Drosophila melanogaster: one gene and its partners. The protein of the gene in region 3 purifies or fractionates together with the protein of the main gene of each other region. This does not show direct contact. Each region holds a gene or a part of one and is shown on either strand. Other genes may lie near its edges.

Evidence for each region.
Region 1: the proteins of Kap3 (region 3) and Klp68D purify together in Drosophila melanogaster (affinity purification with western blotting; 4 studies listed by BioGRID, with this or other methods). This does not show direct contact.
Region 2: the proteins of Kap3 (region 3) and Apc2 purify together in Drosophila melanogaster (affinity purification with western blotting, with the first as the bait; one study listed by BioGRID). This does not show direct contact.

What each region holds. Positions count from the first base shown.
Region 1 is NT_037436.4:11,793,613-11,799,383, reverse strand, and holds Klp68D (Kinesin-like protein at 68D), read right to left. Parts: upstream 3,771-5,771; 5' UTR 3,686-3,770; intron 3,527-3,685; 5' UTR 3,428-3,526; coding exon 2,763-3,427; intron 2,658-2,762; coding exon 968-2,657; 3' UTR 509-967; downstream 1-508. Other genes in the region: Gcat (glycine C-acetyltransferase), read left to right, coding at 1-145, 208-365; CG10907 (uncharacterized protein), read right to left, coding at 3,994-4,321, 4,381-4,587, 4,647-5,030, 5,208-5,771. UniProt on the Drosophila melanogaster protein: Plus-end directed microtubule motor that may be used for anterograde axonal transport and could conceivably move cargos in fly neurons different than those moved by kinesin heavy chain or other plus-end directed motors.
Region 2 is NT_033777.3:24,162,061-24,168,879, forward strand, and holds Apc2 (adenomatous polyposis coli 2), read left to right. Parts: upstream 1-1,905; 5' UTR 1,906-2,113; coding exon 2,114-2,749; intron 2,750-2,812; coding exon 2,813-5,026; intron 5,027-5,223; coding exon 5,224-5,577; 3' UTR 5,578-5,877; coding exon of another isoform or gene 5,878-6,084; 3' UTR 6,085-6,204; downstream 6,205-6,819. Other genes in the region: TBC1d7 (TBC1 domain family member 7), read left to right, coding at 1-331, 392-623, 680-766; mRpS24 (mitochondrial ribosomal protein S24), read right to left, coding at 811-1,100, 1,158-1,347, 1,408-1,425; CG5510 (uncharacterized protein), read right to left, coding at 5,878-6,084, 6,414-6,743, 6,797-6,819.
Region 3 is NC_004354.4:11,333,589-11,341,261, reverse strand, and holds Kap3 (kinesin associated protein 3), read left to right. Parts: upstream 1-1,673; 5' UTR 1,674-1,734; coding exon 1,735-2,048; intron 2,049-2,437; coding exon of another isoform or gene 2,438-2,472; coding exon 2,473-2,590; intron 2,591-3,399; coding exon 3,400-3,565; intron 3,566-3,618; coding exon 3,619-3,933; intron 3,934-3,998; coding exon 3,999-4,135; intron 4,136-4,198; coding exon 4,199-4,387; intron 4,388-4,452; coding exon 4,453-5,928; intron 5,929-6,009; coding exon 6,010-6,266; intron 6,267-6,328; coding exon 6,329-6,473; 3' UTR 6,474-7,075; downstream 7,076-7,673. Other genes in the region: CG34348 (uncharacterized protein), read right to left, coding at 517-655, 765-810.

The DNA of each region.
Region 1 (5,771 bases), on a different chromosome or scaffold from region 3:
ACCCAGCGCGTCCAGAGCAACACGCAACGCTTTAGGCAGGCCATGACAAAGGCTGGATTCACCATAGCCGGCGAGAACCATCCCATCTGCCCCGTTATGCTAGGTGACGCTCGTCTTGCCTCCCAGTTTGCCGATGAGATGCTAAGTTAGTTGAAATCTTAATCATCCCTTTATCTACATATATATTTAACTAATATTAAATTTCAGCCCGTGGCATCTATGTCATCGGATTTAGCTATCCGGTGGTTCCTCAGGGAAAGGCACGCATCCGTGTTCAAATCTCCGCTGCCCACACGGAAGCCGAAATCGATCGGGCAATTAATGCATTCATTGAAGTCGGTCGCTCTCTGAAAGTAATCAAGTGAAAAATGGAAATCAAATGGAGTCCAGTATTTTGAATATTGCATTTATATTAAACGAAACTGCATTTATCTACAAACGTTGTAGTAGTACTTATTCATCATGAGTTTTCCAATCCCCAAAAACAAATTAACTCAGAGGTGTTTTTGTGTTTACGGAGTTGCTTTATTTGGTTTATAATATTAACTAAAAATCATTTACTAAGTAAATAATAGACAGTTGCAGCTGGATTTAACTCAAGCTTGGATTGCACTTAATCGAACACAAAACGTACGTATGTTTGCATTTAAATCAATAACAATAATTCGAGTCGAGTAACAAATAAACATAAAAATAATTAAGGAAGCGTGTTGGGGTCGACTGGCCAAGTCACTCAAGGCATATGGCATTAACTAAAGTGGAATTAATAAAAAATCTTTATAATTCTAGGGCCAGTGCATGAGATGACTTAAAACAAAAGGAAACTTTTACAAAGCGTGAAATGTGAGTAGATTGGGCTAAAAGTACCGAGGTGTACATATTGCGATGACTATGAAATACTTTGGTTAGTGTTGTGTTTGCACGACAATGGTTAGATGCAATTCAATTCGATTAAAATCGTTTGTGATTATTTGTTGACCAGGCCGCGAGCTTTGGGATACGCCGAAGCTGGCTTCTTTGCCGGCAGACGGCCCGTGGGCGGACGGCGGTTCGAGTCCAGATTTGAGGCGGCACTTGGCAGCCCCCGGCTTGACTTAATGTTGCGAACATTGGGTATGGAGCTGCCCACAGCGACGCCAGCACCTGGTCCAGCTCCTCCATTGGCATTCGCGTTGATAATGTTCTCTAGACGGCTGCGCAGTGAGTTTGTGTGCGAGTCCACGATGTCTATATCATCTCCGCCCGTTTGCATGGCTTGAGCGAGCACCGCCTGCAGCGAGGCGGACACCTTAGGCGTACGGTACTCCTGGGTGGTGCGACACGGCATCTCCAGCTCGTAGTTCACGATGTTCTCGCTCTTGAAGCGTAGAGAGCTCGGTGAATTCGATTTGGCTTCCTGCAGAGCGTATTCGGAGGTGGGCCTTCTGCGCTGAGGATGCGATACCGGTCGCTTGCTGCTGAACTTGCCATCACCACCAGGAGGCGTGGGCAGCGACATCGAAGAGAATTTCCATTCCTCCTGCTCCTCGTCATACTTGGCCTGCGTGTACAGGCGCTGCTTGACCTCGATGGGCACAAAATTGTCGATGATAAGAAGCTGGCGTTTTAGCTCCTTGACCAGCTCGTTCTGAGCCATCTCGAGCTCCCTAAGATCCTGGTTGTGGTCGGACTTGCAATCGTTGAGTTCCTGCTGAAGAGCCAAATATTTGGCGTAGCATTTGGAGAGCTTGCGCTTCTTAAGCTCCACCTCTTGTTCAAGTGAAACATTTCGTTCGCGAATTTCCAGAGTAGTCTCCTCCTGCAGTTCCAGCTGCTGTTGGATCTCAATTTCACGCTTCTTGCGCTCAGCGATCTCCACCAGCTTCTTCTCCAGCTCTATCTGGCGCTCACTGTACGTGTCCAGCAGGTTTTTTCCGCCGCGAACAAGTTGACCCTCCAATTCTGCGAGTTTGGCTGCCAGTTTTGAGTTCTCGACGCGCTCCCGTTCCAGTTCCTCGTTGGACTTCGCCACCTCGGCCTCGTTTTCCTTATCCGATTCGGACTCGGCACCCTCGGGATCGCTGTCATCCTCCACCGGCTGCTCAATTGTTGAAACCTGCAGAGAGTCTGACATCTCTTTAGTTACGGTCTCCTTTTTGGGCTTCTTGACGCGCTGCTTCTTGGCCGTGACCTGCTTTTCACTGCGTTGCTGCTGTTGCGGACCTATTAGCCGCTTGAGTCGCTCAATTTCCTCTTGGTACTCCTTCAACTTGGCATCCTGTGGATCCTCATTCTTAATCGGCTGATTCTGGATGGACTTGGCCCGCGAAGCGTACCGCAGCGTTGTAAGCGTTTCGTTATAATTGTAATTGGATGGTCCAATGTTGGCAATCATAATGGTCTTGGAATTGCCACCCAACGAATCCTGCAACAATCGCGTCAGCTTTGAGTCACGATACGGAACATGTGGCGAACTTTCGGCCAGGGCGGAGATCACGTTGCCCAGCGACGAGAGTGCCAGATTAATCTTGCTGGCTTCCTTTAGCCGCTCCGCTGATGCTCCTGTCTTGGACTGCCGCTCACTGCCCGCCAAATCGATGAGATTCAGTTTGCCCACTTTGATGGTGTTCGTTTCCGTATCGCACATCTCGATTTTGATCATGAAAATGGCGTGGGATCTGCAAGTAAACGATAATTAATTAACTAAAGTTTATCCTTATCGAAAGCCTCGGATTCCTGATGAAATGCGAGTATTCGTATAGCCTGTTTATACCGAAACTTACCTTGAACTATGCTCATTCATGTTGGTGAATCCCACTGTGCGGTTCTTGTTGCCCACCTGCATCACTTTGATCATATCTTCGACACTCTTGCAGTTAATGGCGTGCAGATTGGGCACATAAACGCCCGATCCACGTTCCCGCACCTCCAAATGCTTAGAGTTGGGCTTTAGCAGATCGCGCAGCTCCTCCATATAAATCTCTAGGTAGGATACATCGACCAGAAACTGGAAATTCTCGGTGCGATTAATGTGCAGCCAGATCTGTTCGAATGTGCGCGGTATTATGCCCATCAGTTCGTCATTTCCGCGTACTCCCTCCATTGTGAAGGTTTTACCAGTGCCCGTTTGTCCATAGGCAAATATACATCCGTTGAATCCCTCCAAAACGGAACTGACTAGGGGAAAGACCACTTCATGGTAGAGCGTCGTCTGCGTTGCACTCGCATCATAGGCGGCATCGTAGGTGAAAACCTTGCGCTGCTCCTTATTGCCATCGACCACATTCTGCAGCTCCACAACGCCTCGATTCGGATACACGTTGACCACCTCCGGCGATCTTTCCGAGCGTTCTCTGTTGCTCATGGGCCTGCATCGGACCACCACCTGGACGCACTCGTTTGGCGTCTGGCTGCTGCCGGTGCCAGGTCTCCTGCTCTTGGCACTCATCTCCAAATATCCGGAGATCCACAAGGTCCGTGTTAACTGTGCTCTTTTCTGTGGTGGTGACTCAGGCAGCTCCGCCTCAACAAAAACAAAGTCGAGTAGCTGTGGCGACCGAAAACAAATGACGAATAAAATCAATAATTCCCTCCTGACGCAACCTTCTGATTTGGGCACTTCTGTGCTCGATTTGCACGCACAATTTGAAGCTAGTCAGCCACTTGAGCTAATGAGCAAATCGATTTGGCAATCAACTGCTATTACCTGTTATTTTGAAGCCAATTACTTCACCTTGAATTCGCTTTTTTGTCTCAGCTGCTGTTAACTTTGTCTGGCTCAAACGTGCAGTGTGCCCAGGCTGACCAACGTTGCACCACCAAATGGAGCGAAAATACGGTACTCCCAATTCAATACCGCGCAATTCAAAATGGCAGAGAAATGAGCACAACACTAACTTACCACCCAGTTTAGTAGATAGTAATTGTTTTTTGGTAATAGTATACGCAAGCAGATAATTACGATATATATAAATACATCAATATTTATTGAAACTATCTTTTTTTATTTTTTCTTTAAAAGTCACGTTTACTGCTTTTTGATTTACCCGAACTCGATTTACTAGAGCCAGTTTCGCCCCGCTTACGTTTATTTAGAGGATTTCGTGGATCGTAGGCATCGTACCAATCGTCGCCCTTTTTATTGGCATCCTTAGCTAAAACCGGAGTCGTACTATTAAAATTTAAGGTATGCGACAACCAATCGTCGCCGATTATTTCCTGTTCTACTACGCGATCGTCTATATCCTTCGGTTCCGATTCGCCATCATCAGAGCTTGACTTTTGCTTCAAGTTATCCAGTTTCGTTCGGAACTTGGAGAGTAGGCTCAATGTAAATGCCTCTCTAAAGTTTAAAAAAATTGGTAAAATCTTTGAAAAGAATAAAATTTATATATATCCCACCTTGACTGTCCCTTCGGTTGAAGCTTTACTTTGGCGGTGTACTTCTCCTTAGACTCTATAAAATCGTTAATATAATGGTTTTCGCTGGACCCCTTGATTTCATTGGACTTTGCTGCTTTCTCTTGTCCATTAACTAGTTTGTCTTTGCTCTGCTTATCCATTTGATACTGCTTTTTCAGAGAAGCGATTTCCTCACGGATCTTGGATCTAAAATACATAAATTATATGACTTGAAACATGATAAAACCTATTTAAGTATAGCTCACTTTTCCTCCGAGACTTTTCGACTTTGTTCCTCCTCCCGTGTTAACAAAACATCCTCGTCATCCTCAGAATCAGACTTTTCCTCCACTGGCTGAACTTTTTTGTCTGCTCCACTCTTTGATCTCTTAGACAGTTTCATTTTGATGAGATCCGAACTAGCAGTGGACGGTTTATCCTTGACACTGTCCTCAGGGCAATCGTCGGACAAGTGCTCCTCGATGTCGGCTTTTTCTACTTTGGGTACACGAATGGGCTCCTTGCTGAGTTTTGGATCATCTGTGACGTCGTGCAGGGATTTCGCCTTACCGGCGTTCTGTTTAACATAGACGTTGGTCTCCTCCTCGTCACCTTCGGCTTCTTCGCCAAAAGAAAGCAGTCCGAAGTTTCTGTGGATTATATTGAAGCGTTAGCAATGCACTACAAGGTATTTAGAGACTTCAGTTTAAGTGTATGGTAAATAAATCAATACGTTGCAGATACGCCGCATTATTATGCCATCATTCATTGTTTTCACTTAGTAGTATGTTAACAATTTGGTTTCCGATTTAGAACGTAAGTCTTACTTGACTCCTTGTCGCTCCTTCTTAGTCTTTTTGCTCTTCGTGGAAGGTTGGGAGAGAATACGAGGAACGATATCATCGAATGGGTTCGAGAGGACTTCCGTAGAAACGATGCGATGTGCGTGCATCGGTCTTTCCTGGTGGTCAACAATGCCATCTTCCAGCTTGAGCATGTTGTAGATGGTATCGCCGGTGATCTTTCCAAAAAGCGTGTTCTTATTCTGCAGCTCCGGTGTCGGAGCAAATGTGAAGAAGAACTGTGAGCCATTGTCATCCTTTCCAGAATTTGCCATGCCGACGAGGCCACGACGCGTGTACCGGAGTCGGGAGTGGAACTCATCCTTGAAGGGCTGTCCGTATATGGACTCGCCGCCGGTGCCGTCGCCATTCGGATCGCCTCCCTGGACAATAAAGCCCTTGACCAGCCGGTGGAATTCGGTGTTCTTGTAGTAGCCCTCTAGGCAGAGTTGCACAAAGTTGCGGCACGCCTTCGGACACTCCCGTGCCCACAACTCGATGTCTATGTCGCCCACAGTGGTCTTAAGGAGCACCTTTCCCGACGTGGGT
Region 2 (6,819 bases), on a different chromosome or scaffold from region 3:
TAACCGTGCTCCGGTTTACCGACCATAAGCAGAAGGAGCAGCCCTTCATGTGGCTGATAGACCATAAGAAGAAAGCACAGGTCATGCACACCATGTGGCTGATAGAGTCCAATCGACTGTGGCATGGCAATACTAGTGCCAGTCTCCAGGCGGACGACATGCACTTCATAGAGATTGTGCGCACGTTGCTGCAGATATTCGACGACAACGTGGAAACCTACTGGATAGCAAAGGGATTCTACAAGTACACCCGCGAACTGAAGAAGGAGTGCGTCAAGCTGAAGGAGCAAACGCAGAATATACTGAAGCGCGAAGATTTGTCCTTGCTTAAGTGAGTTTGCATATGGTTAGTCGGGTTATTTGACCAATTTTCTTCGATTACTCCTTATAGTCACCTGGAGCTTCTGGGCCTGTTTGATGGCAACTCAACGCTACTGGATAACTGGTATATAACCTGCTTTGCTGGAATAATCTGTACAACTCATTTGGTCAAGATATGGGACAAAGTCTGTGGAGGGTCCCGGAAGATTGTTGTTTTCCTGTTTGTAGAACTAGTTAAGGACATAAGGTCCTCGATACTAAAGCAAACATCTTTAGCAGACGTCAAAAGACTTATAGAAACGGTAAGTAAATAAGGAAACCATTTGCTAAGCCATAACTTATCCAAAATTTGCCTTAGGTAAAGGATCTTGACGGTGTTATTATCGTAAACAAGGCCATCAAATCACTACAAAACAACAGCAGCGAAGTCGAGTACACGCACTAAGTAAATCTACACTTTTATATTGGACATGTATATAGCAGAATGAACTAAATGTATTTGAAGACCACGTCCTTTTTATCGCCCACCGTTTGCAGTTCCAAGGTCACTGGACACTGCATCCAATAGGAGAGCAGCTCCTCCGTGTAACCAATAAGGAAGTACATTTTTCGCGGTGTAATCGCCTGCCGAATAAGGGCCGCGATCCTAATGGTGTTGTGCTGTCGCTTGATAATGACCTCGGAGCAGACGAGGGCATGCCATGTGCCGGTGACAAACTTGCGGATGAACACATCCTCTATGGCGGTCTGGGACGGACGCAGGGCATCCTTCATTGTTGCTAAGATAGAAGGTGGCCATCAAAATGCTTCCTTAATAAAATTTTCTCACAACTTACACGTGTTCCATGAGTTCCACGATTTGCGGTGGCCAATAAAATGCGGCGGATTGGCCATCTCGTAGGTAAGAGGCCTGTTTCGCTTTGTGGTTATGCGGTATCGCCCGGATTGCACGCGACAGCACACGGAGCTGGTGTGGAATCCTGACCGGCTGAGCTGCTGCACCTCGGTCGCCACCTGGGGCAACAGCTGCAATAGATTAGGTTATTTTAATATATAATTTGTCCTGTTTGTTGTTATTTAACACACCTTTTTCAAGAAGTTCATTATTTTGCGGCAGAAACAATTTTGCGTCCAGCAACAGCTGATTGACGTGACGTAACGGTTCGCTAGAGATGGACAAATTTATAGATAAGTATTCGATATTATTATTGTGTAGTGAAAATATTTTCTATAAAATAAAAAACAACATTGAAGGAAGTAGTTAAATAAAAACACAGAAAGATTAATTTTTAGTTGTGTAAATGCCCTTTTTAGTTCTTAAATGCAATACTTGGATCTCTATTGCATTGATTAAAATCGATTTTTATTTTGTTTTAAAGCGGGGCAGAGTTGTCAACAGTTGTCGGTGGGAAAATGTAATAATGTAATGTAATAAAATTATTGCACGCTTATTTAAAATATATAAATAAACAACATTTTGAGAGCTTCCTTAATAAATAGAGTTAACTTTGTATTAATCCCTTTATTCGAAAGAACTTTGACTGATCATTGAACTTGGGCAGAACTAGCTATAAATTAGCTTAATCGGTAGCACTGGAGCGCTGAGCCTGCGCGCTTGGAAAATGGCTTAAACGCAGGCCATCTCAAACAAAGATCGAGGATCTCAGATCAGAAGGAACTACCTGTTGAAGCGACCGTGCAACAGGACTCATCCAGAAGCAAAGCTGCAAAGGTTTATTCCCAGAATCCCTGGTATCCGAATGCACTAATAGGTGAGGATACATTCAAAGTAATGACGCTGAACGAGAGCGACGCTACTCGCCTGGAGCTGACGCGCAACTTCCTGGAACTGTCTCGAAATCCGGAAACATGCACCGCCCTGCGCAGCTCGGACTGTATCCAGCTTCTGGTGCAGATTCTGCACGCCAACGACGAAGGCCTCTCCACGGCGAAAAAGTACGCCAGCCAGGCGCTGCACAACATCGTCCACAATAATCCGGAGGAGAAGGAGCGCCAGCGGGAGGTGAAGATGCTGCGCCTGCTGGACCAGATCCTCGACTACTGTAACTTTCTGCACACCCAGTTGCAGAGCGGCGGTGAGGCTATCGCAGATGATGAAGATCGTCATCCGCTGGCGGCTATGAAGCTCCTGATGAAAGCCAGTTTCGACGAGGAGCACCGCCAGACTATGTGCGAACTGGGAGCCCTCAAGGCGATTCCCAATTTGGTCCACCTTGATCATGCGGTCCATGGACCGGCTGCCGGTAGGGAACAGTGCAACGCCCTCAGGAGCTACGGCCTCATGGCCCTCACGAATCTCACCTTCGGAGACGAGAACGTCCATAACAAATCGTATCTGTGCGGTCAGCGACAGTTCATGGAAGTGGTCATTGCTCAATTGAACACGGCTCCGGATGAACTGCTACAGGTGAGTTTAATCTTGGAGATTAAGAAAAAAAGATCGTAATTTAATTACCGTTGATCTCATCAGGTTCTTGCTGGTGTGCTTCGCAATCTTTCGTGGCGCGCGGACAAACACATGAAGACTATCTTTAACGAGCTGGGTACTGTGACCTCCTTGGCTCGAGCAGCCATGCAAAACAAGAACGAGAACACTCTCAAGGCCATACTTTCAGCCCTTTGGAATCTCTCAGCGCACTGCAGCACCAACAAGGCGGAGTTTTGTGCAGTAGACGGAGCACTGGCATTTTTGGTCGGAATGCTTAGCTACGAGGGTCCGAGTAAAACTCTTAAGATCATCGAAAATGCAGGCGGCATTCTTCGAAATGTATCGAGCCATATTGCGGTGTGTGAGCCGTACCGACAAATCCTAAGACGGTACAATTGCCTTGCCATTCTGTTGCAACAGTTGAAATCGGAGAGCCTAACCGTGGTAAGCAACTCCTGCGGAACTCTGTGGAATCTCTCGGCGCGCTGTCCCGAGGACCAGCAATACCTCATTGACCACAATGCCATCCCGCTCTTGCGGGCCCTAATCAGCTCCAAGAACTCCATGATTGCGGAGGGCAGTGCCTCGGCTTTGAAAAACCTAGTTAATTTCAGGGCCACTCAGGAGCTTATGCCCAATGGAGATGGTGGGTCACTGCCACTAGACAAGGAAGCTGGCCATGGAGGTACGCTGCCACGGAGATTCAGCTCACTGCGCCTAAGCTCAAATCCCACGGGATCGCTTAAGAAAGTGCGACCCTCAACAGTCAGCACAACTGGCTTTCTGAACAGAAAATGTGAGAGCCGAGAGTCCATTTACTCGGGCAAATCCGATTCCACTAAATACTCAACCAAGTCGGAGGGAGCGAAGAATCCCTTCGAAATTGTGACACCCACTGAAGAGCAGCCCATTGACTACTCCATGAAGTACATGGAGCACAAACCCAATAGCAGTAAGACCTTTGAGATCGACTTGGATCAGCCAACGGATTTCAGTGCTAGATATAAGGAGAGACGATCCGCTCAGACGGCACAGCCGGAGCTGAAGTCGGAGACCAATGAGATTAGAAGTAAGGAGTTGCAACTGACAAAGTCCTCCTCGGCCACGGAGCTGCGCAATAGTCCTGGCCTGGTGGCGGTTTCAGCAGCTAAGCAGAAAATTGCCACCGAAACGGAGACGGAAACGGCAGAGCGACCAATAAACTACTGTGAAGAAGGGACTCCCGGCAGCTTCAGTCGCTTCGACTCGCTCAACAGCCTCACAGAGAAACCGGAGAAATGTATGCCGCCAAAAACTCCAACGAAAACTGCGGTTCTCCCGGTGCACGTTGACGGAAATACGCCTCAAAACATCGATTCCGCACTAGAAACTCCATTAATGTTTTCGCGTCGCAGCTCTATGGACTCATTGGTTGGCGACGACGAAACGGTTGCCTGCGAGGACAATGGATCCGTGATCAGTGAATACAGCCGGATGCAGAGTGGTGTTATTTCCCCCTCAGAGCTGCCCGATTCACCCACCCAGAGTATGCCTCAATCTCCGAGAAGGGACAGAAAAGTGTCCACTCAAAATAACTTGGACACACCTGAACAGAAGCCCAGTACTGTGTTTGAGGACAAGTTGAACAGATTCCACGTGGAGCACACGCCTGCTGCCTTCTCCTGCGCCACCAGTCTAAGTAATCTGAGCATGATGGACGACTCTAATGCAAACGCTATTCGAGGACAGCGTGGAAATGACATCAACGGCAATGGGGATGCTCCTCGCAGCTATTGCACAGAGGACACTACTGCCGTGCTTTCCAAAGCGCCAAGCAATAGTGATCTGTCCATTTTGTCCATCCCGAATGATCTAAATGCGAATGAAGCGCAGCCAGTGCCTGCTCCGCGAGCTGATGTTACCGGAATGGACACTCGGATGCCGGCAGAAGATGCAATCTCTAAGATGCGCTGCGGTGGCAATGCATTGCCCAGTTATCTGCCAGTGTCGGATGAAATGAGCAAGTACTATGTCGAGGACAGTCCCTGCACGTTTTCGGTCATCTCGGGACTATCCCATCTCACTGTTGGCTCTGCTAAGGCTGGGCCTGTTCTGAAGCTGCCAATGAGGACTGCAGAAGAGGCTCAGGCACCCAAACTTCCTCCCAGACGTAGTGCCGTTCAAGGAGATGCGGAGCCACGCTTACCGCCGAAGAAAAGCGACTCACTGAGCTCATTGTCCATGGACTCGGATGACGACTGTAATCTTCTAAGTCAGGTGAGAAAAGGATACTTCATTCAAAACACTTGATATATTTCACCATATAAACATTTTGTGAGAGACTCACTCAAAAATAAGTGTCTTTGTAGATTTAGCAATCGGAATGTTGATATTTCACAAAAGTTAAATTTAAAATGCAGTCAGAAAATTCTCGCTAAAATCAGAAATATTAAAGTTGTTCCCTCTTTTTATAGGCCATTGCTGCGGGAAGTTGTCGACCTCAGCCCAGCGGTGCCAGTACCAGCTCCAGCCTGGCGAACGCTAGTACCAGCACTCTATGCAGGGAAAATGGGCAGTCAAAGAAGCAGGTGGAGCATGGCGATAAGCCGAACTACAGCTCAGATGACTCGCTAGACGACGACGACGATGATGCACGGTCCAAGTCGCTATTTGAGCAGTGCATTCTGAGCGGCATGCATAAGTCCAACGACGCCTTGGAGTCGGAGGGTGAGCCGCCGGGGCAGCGCCAGGAGATCAGTGCCCGGGATCGATTTGTCAGTAACCAGGTGCGCCAGATTGAGTCCATGTTGGCTGGGCGTCAGCACTAGAAGCGGATGGTTGGTTAATTGAGAAGCGCATGCATTTGTTTAGTGGCTTTTAATCTTGTCTACGCAATAATATTCTCACGGTCTCAATTTTCCTATAGTTCAGATTAAAAATTTGCACTTAAATTTAACTCTCCAACACGTGTAATATTATGTTTACCCTCTCACTAAACAATTAAGGAAACTAAAAAGGGTGATAAGAAATGGGATACAGTCGCGGTATAAATATAAATAAAAGTTGCGATCAACTGAGGTCCGGGTAACTCCTAACATGATGCTACTGTGATGAACTAGCTAGAGAGCTCAGTAGAAACGTTTTCGCGCGTTGCGATCCTTGAAGTAGGAGATGGCGAAGATGGCCACTGCAGCCGCCACGACAACCACGAAGAGAAGGATGAAGAAGATCTTGGCGTTGGACATTCCCGGCTTGGGATCTTCTTTGTGCTCGCGCGGGGGCTCGAATGTCTTGGCATTCGGTATGATATTGGAGCGCCGGATAATCTCATCGTGCTGCGAACAAGAAAGAAAGTAAAAAGATGGTTATTGCAACAAGAAAGTAAAACTGGTTTTCAGTAATATGATATAAATATTATAACACACGGCTTATAAAGATAAACATGATTAGGCATCAAACAATGTGTTTAAAGCCAGCTGCTTAATTATTACAAGTTGCAGCAATTAAAAACAAGTTCACTCTTTTTTCTTTATACGTATACGCAGTTATTGAAACTTAAGTCCGCTTTTGGGTTCCTTGCACTCCTTATCGCGTTAGCCAAATAGCAGACAGCTGAGTAATGCTTACTTCGCTTCCGAAGTTTGGCAAACAAAAGTGAACTTACATTTACGTTCAAGTCCAGGTCATAGAACTTGAAACTGTGAATATCGTGATTGTCGGACAGATCACCCGTCGTCGCAGACATGCCGAAGTGGTAGCCCGTGGGTAGCTCAACGTTGGCCACTACAAAGCAGTTCTTCCATTCGTTGCGGTTCTCCAGATCTGTGGAAACCGACAGAATGTCGTTTTCGTATCGAATGCTAACCAGCGTCTCGTACTCCACATTGCGGAAACGAACTTCGCAGCCGGCCAGCTGAGTGTGCGTTCCATCGCGATCGTGGTCGTAGCTCCAGCTGCCATTGTTCACCATGGCGCTGAGATATGGATGTTGGTGCTACAAATATAATGTTAATACATTTACATTCAATGCCTTGCGTAATGACATACGTTGTGTGGACCATTGTGATTGC
Region 3 (7,673 bases):
ATCAATTATTGCTGAGCACTTTTTTTAATGCCCATAATTTCGATGATTCAACACATATTCACGGTTTGTCAAAATGTTAATTTCAGCGTTTTGGGAAACAGCTGCATCATAAGTTCCCTTAAAAACAGTGAAAACTAAGTTTATTGGACTATATTACGTTTTCTGTTTGCCTTATAGAGTGTCCACTGTATTCCCGTGCTTTGTTTTATCTAGCTTTTTTTGTTGGCAACACTGGCTGCCCAACTCTCTCCCACTCTACGCCCCTTCCTTACAACGCCATCTCTTTTTATGTTCCCTTTTAATTACAGGTGCAGAGCGGGACGGAAGACGCCGGCCAAAGGGGGAAGGGGTGCGTGGTAAGGGTGAGTGGGGGAAACTTGGCTCCAAAAGTGCGCGATCAGCATGAGAGAGTTCATTAACAGTTGCAATTGAGCCCGCGAAGCACACTGTAATTGTTGTAATTCCAATTTCCCACCCAACTTATACGCAGCTTTCCAACATTTCCATTTCGCTTACCTGTGCAGCTTGTAGATGAATAGCACCAGGAACGAAATGTAGATGAGGGCCACGAAGACCAGCGGCAGCAGAAAGGTGACAATCAGGGGGGTGAGGAAGCGATATAGCCATAGCGAATAGTCCAGATCGATGTAGGAGGCTAGAATCACAAGGTATGCAGTTGGTGGAGGGGCATTTGTTATGTATGTATGTATGTACATAGGTCAGCGGTGCGCCTTATCGGGCGCCAAATATTCGATATTACTCACACAACAGGGAGTGCAGCGTTTTGTACAGGTTCTCCAGAAATTCCATTGTCAGGCGCTGCTCCACCTCATTTGTTGTTCTTGCGCGAAAAGAGAAGCGACCGCCCACCACAACAAAAACACAAAAAAAAACGGTAGAAAAAAGAAGGGAAAATACGACAGAACAAAAAAAAAAAAAAAAAAAACAAATCGGTTTGGCCTGATTTTGTACACTTTCTTCGGCTCGCTTTGCGCTTTTCGAATTCTTTTCGCTTCCTCCTGCTTGGCGATTCTTTTAAATGGTCATCGTATAGTGCGTTTCATTTGAATCAGTATTTAGTATTTGCGCGGCTTGAAATGCATTTTATTTGCATGTTATTTGCTATTGTTATTGTTATTGTCAGTCGAGACTGTTTGCTGGTTTGTTTGTTGTGATTTTCCTAGCACAATGTAAACAATTCGCGGCGCTGCGCTCCACTCGGCTCACACGCAGTAGAGACAACCGACACCGTTCGCAGTCAGAAACATTGTGATCGCGCCGCGCTTTTTTTTGGTTAATAATACTACAAAGTAGCGATTCTTTTATTGTTGTTCCTTCATTCCATTTCGTTTGCTTTTCTGTTGCTCATCTACGTTCTTTGCACCTGGCAACGCCGGCCCAGCTGTTCTGGCTGCAGTCGTTGCCAGACTTTGGTTCTTGGCACCCAGAACAGAACAGTGATGCTCTCTTGGCTAATCACACCTGTTTCTAGCCGGTCAAGGAAGTTCGAGGAAAAACAAAGTTGTTAGTATACTGCATATTATGAATGGCAAGTTCCCAATTAGAATACAACCGCCAACTTGAATTTGAACATTCGCTTATTGGTTTGTATCGATTGAGTGCTATCGGTAATTGCCGGGTGCCGTGGCACCATCGATAGTACCGCCAGTGAGCAGACAGTTGTGCCAGCACTAGCACTTATCGACATTAAATCGGAAGTCGCATTGCAATCGCATGCAATTTGTTTTGTTATTAATTTTCCAAATAATCTCGGGCCTGGTGCTGCTGCCAATTGTGATTCACTACGTCTATTACATAATAAATGCGATTGCCGGCGATCTGTGCGAGCAGAAGAGAGCGCAAAGAGAGCAGCAGCTGCAAAGGAGCCCCACTCCGCGCCACCAAAACCGCCACCCCCCGCATCCGCCACCCACCGAAGAGGAGCCTGTGCTTTCCATAAACAATTTGACAAATTCTAGTCGCTCTCCGACAGCAGCAGCAACAACAACTGCAATGCAAACAAACGATGACGCCAAGTTTATAAAAAAGTGCGTATGTATGGGATTAGATCGTGCGTGCGTGCGTGTGTGTGTTTGTTTGTTTTCATGTGTGGGTGTACAAGTGGCCGAAGAACAAAAGAAATAGCTAAAGCACTCGTCATGCGTCAGAAAGAGAGCCACAATCACCTGGCGCTCTCTATTGATTTTCCACTTTGCGTTCACGCTTCCTCCTTTTGTTTTTTGTTATTTGCAACCGTTAATCGTTATTCGTTATTCGTTGGGTTCTTAACTTTTTTGTTCGTTTTATTAAAACAAAAGCACAAGTTAAGCCAGGCTCAAAAAAAGAATTGGATTGAAAAATCTATTACCTCATTACGCATTGAACCGCATAATTTATGATTGATCCAACAATTTGTCTCGCTCTCAATCCAAAACAAATGCAACGACAACAACAAACAAACAAACAACGAAGGAGGTGGAAAGGCGGATCCATTGAACCGCATCCCACGGATAAGGCGCTGATTGTCAACTACCAACTGGAGGCCACCGTCTTCGGGGAGCCCAACAATCCGATGATCGAGGAAAAGAAGGTAAGAACGCACGGTTACACATCGCTGCACTGGGAGAAAATGCTAGTAGATATTAGAAAATTAAAATAGGACCAGCATTATTGGTATCAAAGATGTTGATAGGGAAAGAATATAATAACAACAATATGCGAACATCTGTAACTTAGTTCTTAACTATGTTAGGTTCATAAAAAAAAAGGAAACAAAGTTGATCCTTAATCGAATAGGTTGAAAAATTGATCTAGATGTGTACACATACATATATTGCTTATTAGTTTAAATACTAGCAGTCATTGTTCTACAAAAACATCCGAATGAGTACTTAAAAAAGCTACTTCTGTTTCTTCCGGTGTGCCCCGAAAAGGGTTAAGGGGCGGGGGGCAGAAGCTGACATTGAGCGGCCCAATCGATAGCGCAACAACAACGGGGTCGATGACGGCCTGCGCTCCAAGTAGTGAGTGAAAAATGTAAAACCACAGCAACAAAAAAAAAAAGATACCCAAAAGCGGTTGGTTGGCCGGGTCTTTAACCTCAATTCACGTTTTTTGGCCGAGCGACAAGCTTATTTTTCGCCGATTGTTCACGACCATAAATATGTACTACATAAGTAAGTCTCTTATGTTTTGCTCTTGGCCATAAATATTGGCGACCAAAAAAGTTTTCAGCTTAGATGCGAAGTGGTTAATTGCCCTGAAGTGGTCCTAAACTAGTTCCTCAATCCTAATAATTACTCTATGTTTATAAATAGCAAAATAACAGCAAAAACAATTAGCCTAATAGTACATTATTTCAGTCGTTAACTAATGCATGTATTGTATTTAATCGCCCAGCACTGTCAAAAAATCATACGACTCCGTTCGCTGAACGCCAAAACGGATCCGGCTGCCTTGGCACGAGAAGTGGTGGAGAAGTGCGATCTCATCCACAAGTCCCAGCTTAATGACGTCGAGCAGATAATCTTTTATCTGAAGAATCGCAAGGATAATGCAAGCAATGGTAAGCAGTTAGATTGTTAGCAGAAATCCATACTAACACTCAGTACCCATTAGATATACCGGATAACAACACTCACAGCCGGCGATCGGCGGCGCTGCACACTTCGCACACCCGCTCCTCTGCTCGATCGCACAGCAGTGTGGCGGCCATGACCAGCAGCACCGGCAGCGGCGGAGGATCCACTGGAGCTAGCAATGGTGTCTCGAATGCCCTGAGTGCCGCCACGCCCACGGCGGATGTGTCCATAAACAATATCGATGAGTATGTGGAGCTGCTGTACGAGGAGCTGGGCGAACGCATTCGAGGCTCGGCCATGATCCTACAGATGGCGCGAAATCCCGATAATCTTGAAGAGCTGGAAAAGAATGGTAAGGATAAGTTTGCAGTTCTGTAGTTTTGAACCCAAACCCAATGTACTATTTCATCATTTTAGAAGCCTGCCTCAGCGCCTTGTCACGTGTTCTGCGCGAGGACTGGCGCAAATCCCTGGATCTCTCCACCAACATAATCTACATATTCTTCTGCTTTTCCACATACACCAAGTTTCATCCGCTCATTGTGCAATATAAGGTGGGAATAGAGTTTCTTAATTAAGTTCTAAGCACTCATTTAATCGTTGTTAATCTATTTCAGATTGGATCGCTGTGCATGGATGTGATTGACTATGAGCTGCGTCGCTACGAGACAATGAGAAATGAGCTGGACGTGCGCAAACAGCCCAATGGATCATCCACTCCACATTCGGCAAAGGCCAGCAAGGAGAAGCTGAACCGCAGCACCGACGATTTCCTGGACATCATGAACGAGGAGAAGCCCAAGGAGGTAATTTTATTTCTATAAGTTCTTGAAAAACATATCTATCGAATACTCAACAAATTCACTTTCAGATGGAGCCGCCGCGTCGTCGCATTCCGGAGCTAAAACAGCGTCCCAAGTCGGGCAATTGGAGCAGCTTTCACGGCTCCATGTCATCGTCGCTGATCAAGAGTCAGATCCTGAATAGCAGCTATCACGAGTCCCTTTGCGCCGGCGGTTCACCTGGCGGCGATACTCCGGCTGTGCCCGCTGAACAGAAGGCCCAAAGCAACGAGTCGCTGGACAGGAATGATCCCAAAGTGAAGAAGGAGGAGATCGATCGGCTGAACAAGCAGCTTAAGATCTTTGCCAAAAAGCAGGAGCAACTGTTGCGCGTGGCCTTCTACCTGCTGCTGAACATGGCCGAGAATGTTAAGCTGGAGGAGAAGATGCGCCGCAAGCATATCGTTAAGATGTTGGTCAAGGCGCTGGATAGGCAGAATATCGATCTACTCATGCTCGTCAGCACGTTCCTCAAGAAGCTATCGATTGTGGGCGACAACAAGGACGAGATGGGCGCTTTGAACATTGTGGCCAAGTTGCCACGATTGTTCCAGAGCACGCACACGGATCTGGTGCAGGTCACCTTGAAGCTGGTCTTCAATCTCTCCTTCGACGGCGGACTGCGTCGCAAGATGATCGCCGCCGGCTATCTGCCCATGCTGGTGATGTTCATCAACGATGAGAAGCATCACGGCATTGCTGTGAAAATACTGTACCACATGAGCTTGGATGACAAAGTGAAGGGCATGTTCACGCAAACGGAGTGCGTGCAAATGGCCACGGATGCCATAATCCTAAACCTCAATGTTAAAGTCGATTTGGATCTCATTGCCTTGTGCATTAATCTCTCGCTAAATCGCCGTAATGCCCAGATTATGGTGGAGGGCCAAAGATTGCATAGCCTAATGGATCGGGCCTTCAAGTACCAGGATGCCTTGCTGATGAAGCTGCTGCGCAACTTGTCGCAGCACGAGTCCCTGCAGCTGCAGTTCATCGACTATGTGGGAGATCTGGCGCGCATTTTGACCATCTGCGATGACGAGGCCTTCATAGTCGAGTGCCTCGGCATTTTGGGTAACCTGGCCCTCACCGATTTGGATTACTCGCAGATCTTGCAGAACTTCCAACTGATTCCATGGATTAGACAGATACTGCTGCCGTGCGCCAGAATGGACGACCTTGTGCTGGACACCATTGTTTACTTGGGCACCTGTGCCTGCGACGAGTTGTGTGCCCTGCTCTTCTGCCGCGCCAAAGTGGTTATATCCCTGATCGAGTTGCTTAAAGCGAAGCAGGAGGATGACGAGATTGTGCTGCAGATCATCTTTGTGTTTCAGCAAATCCTGCGACACGAAAGCACCAGGGAGTACATGATCAAAGAGACGGAATCGGCGGCCTATCTCATCGATCTGATGCACGACAAGAACGAGGAGATCCGCAAGGTGTGCGACTATTGCTTGGACATTATTGCCATAAGCGACAGCGAGTGGGCCAAGCGCATCAAGGTGAGTTGCTTGCCAGTCCAAATATGGCATATCTTAGTACAAACTTGTTTGTGTTTTCTTGTTCTCGTTGTTACATGGCAGCTGGAGAAGTTCCGCAACCACAATTCGCAGTGGCTGTGCATGGTGGAGTCGCAGCAGGACCAGGACAATGAGCAGGACTACGCCGATCAGGAGGACGAGTGCGACAATGATCTGGACACGTATCTGCGCTCCGAGTACTTGGACAATTGCGATCTCTACAACGACAATGCCGACAATGACAGCAATAGCAACAGCAACCATAGCAACAACAATCCGGCCAGCCCGGCCATGTCCACCTACAGCAGGCCACTGAGCACGTGAGTTTTGACCAAGTTTCCACTTCGATTCGAGTAATTAAGTGATAAATCACATGGTACAGCTATCGCCGCAGCCAGGATCTCGATGATTTGTACAACATGACCTCCAGTTCCAAGTCGCAGGGCTCCAGCGACAACAACTACATATTCAAGTCGAACAAATCCCTGGATGCCGATGGTCTGCACGAGGAGCTGCTGATGGCTTAAATGAGGAGAAAGGTCCTAACCCGAATCGATTGAATTTGAATTAAGATGCTTCTGCCGATTGCCCGCCCTCCCGTGTACATGTTTAGTCACTCTGCCTATTAACGACCTTCTGCTTGGATTTATTGGATATTTATATATATATATATATGTATACATATATACGACACCTTTCACGCTTGTTAGTCAAAGACGTTAAATGATTTTAGCGACGCGGCAACTTTGTACTCAAGACATTCAAAATGAGCAACGGCGCACAGACACTGGTTAGTTTAAGTTTGGTTACTTACTTATTGGTATGGTATTTTTTTGTTTGTTATTTATTAATATTTAATTTATTGAGGTCTTGTTTAAGTGCGATGTATGGCTTAGCTTCCACTTTGGTTGTTCGCAACGCAATTACTGTGCAATAATCTCTCACTTAAAGTATTACGTCGAACGTTTTTAGTTGTACTTGTTTTAGTTTACCGAACCTAAACTTTTCGTTTTCTCGAATATCTTACGAACAAAAGTCAAATTGTAATATTAAACAGTGGGCGACAAATGAAACGCCGACATAATGAAACGCCGAAGAATATAAACAAAGCTAATGTAAATGTTCACCTAGTTCGTATTGTTTTCTTTGGTTTTGTTGGCTGTTCAAAAAAAAAAAAAAAAAAGGGGTGAGTACTTTTCCCATTCCGCAGAGCTGTTTGTCTCGCCATTAAAATGCAACAATTTGAAATAATATTGGCTTTTAATTTTGTGTTACACAATAAGGAATATTAAGTTGCAGTTCGTTTCCGAAACATACTTATGACAGTGGCTAGACCGATCCGATAAACATGCATATATCTAGGTATGTATGTATGGTACGTGTATATATAAATAGAAGAATATGCTCTCTAGTTCACTTTATATATATATATATATATATATATATATATCGTGGATATCCGTAAGGCGAGGCCTTCTAGCGTTCAATGTTAAGCTTAACCTAGATATCTCCACTTCAGCTTCAGCATCGGCATCTCCCACTGATTGGTGTTCCGTTTCCACTTCGATTTGACTTGGATCGCTTCGCACATCTGCCGCAGTTTTTGCACTTAGACTATGGTTTTAACAAATTTTTACACAAATATCAGACACAGACATACATATACATATATAAATATGGAAAATATCGACTGGAGGAGAGAGTGGGATGGGAGATTGGTGTAATGC